Linked DNA regions of Drosophila melanogaster. The protein of the gene in region 1 interacts with the protein of each later gene in a pairwise test. Each region holds a gene or a part of one and is shown on either strand. Other genes may lie near its edges.

Region 1 (3,346 bases):
TTATTCTCCAGCAAAGACGCCACACAATAAGTCCAAGAGGAGGGCGAGATCCTACTCGGACAATGACTCATGGAGCCCGGATAGTGAGCTTGAACACGAAGATGATGATAAAATCTGGAACGCCTCAAAACGGGGCAAACCGAAAAGGGTTCCCGGACCATATCGGTGCAAGCTCTGCACACAGTCGTTCACCCAAAAACAAAACCTAGAGATTCACATGCGCATACATACTGGCGAGCGACCCTACAAGTGCTCCCTATGTCCGCGATCCTTTGCCCAGAAGGGCAACCTGCAGAGCCACACACGTTGTCACACCGGCGAGCGTCCCTTCGGTTGTCCGAACTGCCCCAAGCGCTTCCGGCAAGTTGGGCAACTGCAAGTCCACACCCGGACTCATACTGGCGAACAGCCGTTCAAATGTTCCAAATGTCAGCAAAGCTTCAAGCAACTAAACGGCCTACAAAAACACATGTCAGCACACACGCGAGGGAAGCGACGGACGAGCAGCCAAGAAACAAAAAGAAATAAGTTTAAATAGTTAAGATTTGTTAAAGGTATTTTCATATATTGAATGTCCATATAATAATTTCTTGTTTGAAATCGACAAAGCTAGTAATCGCAACCAAAGTGAGAAAGCTGCTTAAAAACTGTTGTGAATCGATCCGATTATCATTTCTTTATTATCTTATTGTCAATATGAGAACATGAAATTGTTTTTAAAACTACACTCCATATGTACTTTCATTATTAGTCGCTAACTTGTTTCTACTTTAAAAATATATCGAACTTATTTTTAAAACGATGATACAAGATGATTAATTACTATTTTAGTTGGCTACATTTTGCCAAGCGTTGCCAAGGACTATTTAAGAGCTTTTCGTCTGGTCCTTGTGGATCCTTTGGTGTGGGTGCGCCTGTGCATGGTCAACTGGGCCTTGCCGGTGAAACTTTTTTGGCAGTCGGTGCATTTGAAGGGCCGCCTCTTATCCACCTCGTTGCGAGTCTCCTTCTTCGGCTGCTTATCGTTCCGGTCCCCATCGTCCTCCTCCTCCTCCTCCTCGCTCTTGATGCGATCCGTAAAATCCCAATCCTCGGCCTCCAGGAGATCGCATGTCTCCTTGTCGCTTTGCTCCCTCTTCACGCGCGCCACGTATTCCATGGTCCTTGTGTAGCGTCTCCTGAATCTCAAGGCCTCACGCAATTTAATAAGGCACGGTTCGCAAATTTTCAGCGGAAAGCCGTCCCCGGTATCCACTGGATATGCGCTGCAGATATTCAGCAAATCAGCCGGCGTGGGCTCCGGTTCCTTGGTTCGCTGTAGATCGTCGCTCAGTCTGTCCCCCAAGCTCTTGTTGTCGTAGATGTCTAGCAGGTCCTTCGGCTCGTCCATACACACCCGGCACATCTTCACCAATTCATCCATGGCTTCGTTGCTTCCTTCGATTCCAAGCAAATACAATTCAAAAAGAATAACTAAACTGTATCGGATGACCATCAAGCCAAAACAGAAAAATACCAATTGGCGCAATTCCAGGGATGCAACATCTATGCCAATAAATATGTATTTAAATTTAGACTTATTTGTTGTTATATCAAATTAACTTATAAATATATTATTTAAAATGAACAATTAATCTAAAATGAAATGTAGTAGCAGTGAAAATTGTAGAATCAGTTGAAAGTATTCTTCATGTTATATTTTTAATTTATTTTAATTGAAAAACTGTAAAACGGGTTTAATGTAAAAATTCAATGCTTTGCTTGCAAGTTTTTTAAATAAGAAGGTATACTTATTTTTAGAATCATTATTCAAAGTAAAGATTCTTAAAACTAATTATATGTTTAATTTAATATTGATGAAATTAAATGATTAAAATTTTTAAAAATGTAGCGAGTTTTTACTGTAGAAATGATTTCCACTACAAATGGCAAAGACCCCGATTCGCATAAAACTGTTGCAACTTGCGCAAAGTTCAACTGGTAACTGGTCATTGTCTTCTAGGCTTATCGGCTTATCGGCATGGAATTAACTTAAGAAACACCATGGACTGCGGAGATAATGACCCAAGCTAAACTTAGCTCCATTTCCAGCCAAGCGGAGCAGTGATAAGATTCAAAAGACTTGGATTACAAAAGAGTTTATGAAATGTATTGCATATTTAGCGCCCTGTGGGCGTAAAAATAAAAAGAGTACACAAAATAAGAAATATGTAGGCGGGAGCGGGACAATCTACATCTCCACATAAGTGGGCATGGTCATAACACCGCAATTGTTCTTCTTGGCCGACATCAGGATGTAGCCATCGTTGCCCCAGTAGGTGGACCACGAGTTCTTCACCAGCCAGTAGTCCTCTCCATTGATCGAGCCATAGCCCACGGCCAAGACAGCATGATCCAGTCCATCTACATCGTTCTTGCACGTTGGCTCATAGTAAACTCCGTGCGAGTAGAAGCTAAATGTCTTGGGAGAAGCATCAATGGCCACCGACAGAGGACCGTGCTTGAGCAGAGCCAGCTTGAAGGCATTTGGATCGTTGGAGGTCACATTGACGAATCCCTTAATAGGTGCCACCAGCGTCACGTTGTTGACGTGACAGTAGCCATCCTGGCCCAGATAGGGACCGTACTCCTCCTCCGTGGGCACTCCGCCGGACTGCAGCATCCACTGGTACACGCGGAAATCCTCGCCACCATCGCAGCCATTGTTGCCATAGGCCCACGAGCAGTCAATCAACGCCTGCTGGGAAAGCCGGACCAGATTGCCGCCATTCTTCAGGAAGAAGGCGCCCTCCAGGTGACCAATGGTGCCAAATGACCAGCACGATCCGCACACAGATTGATCTAAGGGTAGTTTACGTTTTAAGCAATTCAATATTATCAAATTCATCTAAGTAAGTACTTAGGGAATGAATGAACCCACCTTTCACCGGAGTGACAGCGCCGTATAGCCGCCAGTCGTACTGGTCGGGAATCTCGTCCTTGTACTTGGGCACATCATAGGGGAACGGTTTGCCGGTGTTGTAAATGCCCGATGATTTGTATCCTCGTCGTGCCTTCAACTCCTCTTCGGTCTTGTCGGCCAAGTGATTAACGGCCAGCGTGTAGGTGAGTTTGGCCCTGTTCTTTGAGTGGATGTAGCGCAGGTTCTGACGGAAGATGTTCTTGCGATGCTCGTGTTCCGTGTCGCTGTGATAAGCAACTCCGTGCTTGCGCTTGAAATGGTGGAAGGCCTTGTCCACATGCTCATCGGTTCCGGATATAAACTCCTGCATGGGATTGAAGGTGGCATAGTGACCGGTGCCGGGTCCGGGGAATCCGACGCACTGCAGGCTGTCATCGATCTCGA
Region 2 (3,758 bases), 7.9 Mb from region 1:
TTATAAACGGCCTGCACACGCCTCATTTATTATTTATTATTTGTACTCAGGCCGAGTGGCTGCGTTTGCATGTAGGCAAATTTCACCAGCGAACATTAGCAGGCAGACATTTTATTTTTTTTGTATTCTGGTATCCTTGTATTCCCCAAGTTATCACAATCGCTGAGCGAACGCGCGCACACCGGAAATACGAGCGGGATGCCAGGATGTCGGTCTGCAGATGGGCTGAATGCTCGTCCCGTTCTGCAGCGCGTGCTGAGTCCTTTGAATACCACTTGGTATCGCTGTGATTGCCGAGTTTATGCTCTTCGACAGCTGTTAATGGTGTAATCCCCTTGTTGGACGAGAGATCCTTTAATTAAGAGGCCACACGTTTGGCTGCTCTTTAATGGTTTGTAAGATTTTTATGCGATTTTAGGAAATTAGGATTTTTGAATGTTTGCACAGCCGACTGGTTGATGAAACTGTGCTGCTGTTTAATTGTCAAGCTTTTACCCAATGATGCTGCTGATGTGCTTTTTTTCTGGTTTATGAATACTTCCGTTTTAAGTCTACTAATTCGATTAGCAGAAACATATGCTTCACAATTATCTGATGATGGTGGGGTGAGCTTTTTAGGGGTTGGATAACTGTCGTTAGTTAGAAATTAAAAGCAACCATCTAAGTTCACAGGTGCTGTATCTAAGCGCTCAAAATTCTATGTAAGTGGATTTAATTTATCAGATCAGAATGTTTGAATAGAAAGTATCATAGTTTACAAATATCTTAGAAATTCGAAATAAATTCTATCAAAATATTAAAGTTTATTATTGTAATTATTCTTTACTGACATTGGTTATAAATTTTTAGATTTAAAATAGACTTCAACATGTCTGGTATTCTGAATTCGTACATTTCAAATATTTTTATGCATTTAATATTTTCCCCATTTTATGCTGGAGATTTTCCCCATTTAAGCCTAGGAGTATGTTTTCAATTTTTGAATAAAATTCTACCGTTACGATATTATCTTTAATTTACTTCAACTTTGGTTCAACAAAGCACTTAAAAATACATTAGTTATTTAGGACCCCGTCGGAGTTCTGAATCATGTTGATCATTCTATAATTCGAACATAACTCACCTCAGGATTGTGCCTGTATGTGCAATAAAGTTTATCCAAAAATAAGTCTCCTCTTTGACTGTCTCTTAAACTTCCGTCGGGACAACTTAAGTTACAACTTAGTAATCTTAAACACTTCACAATCGTTGGGAATCGGTGCAGTTAATCACTCACTCAAGTGCGTACAAATTGCCAACCGGAAATGAAATTATTGTCAAAATGGCGACGGATATGCGACAAGTGAACGCGACAGCGACGCGCCACGCAAATGACGGTTTTGTTTGCAGCCAAAGTTTCGTAGTCCTGGAGCGGATATGCAAGGAAATTTGTCACTGCAAGGACGATGACGGCGACGACCACCAAGCCAACTGGACACCGACGGCAGCGGGCTCCTTGGGCATTTCTCGATGTCTTTTCGCACAGGTGCAGGTGCACAAAAGGTGGGTGGTGGTGGGTGGCGAGGGGTGAGAGGTTCGCAACGAAAGCGGAACGAAAATGAAATCAAAAAGCGAAATTTCTATAATTTCCGCACAAAAATTTCCGCGACACACTGGCAGGACACATGTGTGTGTCCTTGTCTGTTTCTTTTTCGTGCGCTGCCACGCCCACAGCCAGCAACAAGCTGGGCGTATGTGTCCAAGTTTTCCGCACTGCTTGCCGTGTGTAAGTGTACAAGTGTGTGCCGTGTGTGTGCTTTGTGTTTTTTGTGGTTTTTGTGCCTTCGTTTGCCGCTTGTGCTGACCAAGAAAGGTTCGCTAGTTTGGTCCTTGTCCCGGGAATATTGACGACGTGTGACCGACGAATCTAAACCGCAAAGTACCGCTATTATGTCGTCCGCGACGTGTTGCACTTGGTAGCGCGCACTCCAAGTTAATGTGGCGGCCAGATCATCCCGTCCAGTCACCAGTCCACGCTCAAAGATGGCGACACACTCCTCCCACAAGCGGTGGCTCTGTGTGGCAGGGGAACTGGGCGCTATCACCGAGGATGTGTCACCCCATCGTCCTGCGTTTCTGCGGCGGCTAATGCGCAGGCGCGCTCTCCGCACCACAACCCCATCCACCGCCCACTTTGCCGCTGCTCTGTTATCTGCCGCTGTCATCGGCTGCTGGTGGGCGGAGCCAACTCTGTGCCATCGGGGATGTGGATGTGGATGTGGCTATGGCTGTGGATGCTCCTGCCTTTCGCCGGGTCCTTTGCTCCGCGTTCTTGGGGCATCATTAGTGCTGCCGAAGAGAGAAGACCCCATTTTGGGCGGAAGTGCGTATGAGCAATATTTTAACAATGGCGTTTAAAACAGTTAAAGAGCGTGTGCTGGTGTGCGAGGCCATTAGGACCTTAGTTTTGCGGTGGCTTTAAGGCCCGCAGATAAGCCTCGCATAATAACATTTTAATTTCGAGCAGCAGTGGCCACAAAAGACCCGCCAAGATACCCAGATGCTCCTGCTGCCTGCCAAAAAGGATATAATTAACATGCCAGCTGCTGCAGAGCACACACACATGTGCTAAATGACGTCTAGATAAGCGGTGAGCCTGGTGACATGATTTAAGGTCCTGCGATGGATGGGGCAGGATAATTTGCGATAAGCGGCATTCGGGGTGATTAATTTGCCAGCCCAAGTTGTGGAATGTCTTCGAAATGTCTTCAGCTCTCAATTTAAACTAATGAGCTCATGTACAGCATGTATTTAATATTTAAGATTGGTTTTAGGCAACGAGAAGATGTCTTTGCAACAATGTCGTAATTTGAAAATAACTTACTCCCATATAAAAAGAAAAACAGGTTTCTTAAAACAACAACCTGAATTATATATTTTTAAGTTTAAAATCCTTTCCAGGATAATGAAATTTAACGGTTAAGTGAGCTTACCAAAGCAGCTTAACTTTAAAGCTTGTAGAGCTTTTAGTAAATTAACAAACCCAAATGGCTTCGAATAAATCCTTAAGGTTCTTTCCCAAATAAAACAAAGCAAATACAAAAATCTTCAATCTTTTAATTAAACAAAACACACAAATGTACACTTATCACAATAAGTTTTGCTGTCTATAACTCGTATGACATAAGTAGTCCCAATTATAAAAAAGTCTGCTCAGTTGCGCTTGATCAATTAGCCAGTGATAAAATAAGTTACAAAAACTCATTCAGCAGGTAGAATAGAATGAATGTCTTGGAAATGCGGATGGAATTTTAGAAACATGTTGCGAAGTCTTTGAAAAGTATCTTTGCGCCTTAGATGCGACTTTTGGAGCTCGATTTTACTTCAAATAGTTTGCGCACAAAGAATACCTGCAAATATTAGGTTATTAATTTAGGAAAAGCAAAAAACATGTCTATACTCGCCTGTACAGAGCACGTGATCAATATGACCACAATTTGGCTAATCGAGAAGGTTTGAATATAGGCATTGTTGTCCAGGAGCAACGCATAATCACGCGATTCGCGATGACGACTGTGGGCTTGATAGCCCATCATATCGTTGATGTTGCGCTCCACAGTGCCAACGGTGGCCTAAAGAAATAGATCAATGTGAATATTTGTAAATGGATGTTTGGGTGTGTCTGAAAACCAGTTTGGCTTACAGTGAAGTTTTGCATGTTCAGCTGCAGCTGCTCGATCTCCTTGGCGTACTTGTCCCATGCATCGTACTTCACCACC

Evidence for each region. Proteins that work in one complex are often made in the same cells at the same time.
Region 2: the proteins of CG17361 (region 1) and Ets65A interact in a two-hybrid assay, tested with the Drosophila melanogaster proteins (one large-scale study listed by BioGRID).

The regions. Positions count from the first base shown.
Region 1 is NT_037436.4:13,995,355-13,998,700, reverse strand, and holds CG17361 (uncharacterized protein), read right to left. Parts: upstream 1,511-3,346; 5' UTR 1,496-1,510; coding exon 863-1,495; 3' UTR 646-862; downstream 1-645. Other genes in the region: CG17359 (uncharacterized protein), read left to right, coding at 1-538; CtsK1 (cathepsin K1), read right to left, coding at 2,231-2,841, 2,921-3,346.
Region 2 is NT_037436.4:6,095,837-6,099,594, reverse strand, and holds the start of Ets65A (Ets at 65A), read right to left. Parts: upstream 1,979-3,758; 5' UTR 1,124-1,978; intron 1-1,123. Other genes in the region: loj (logjam), read right to left, coding at 3,333-3,389, 3,444-3,611, 3,683-3,758.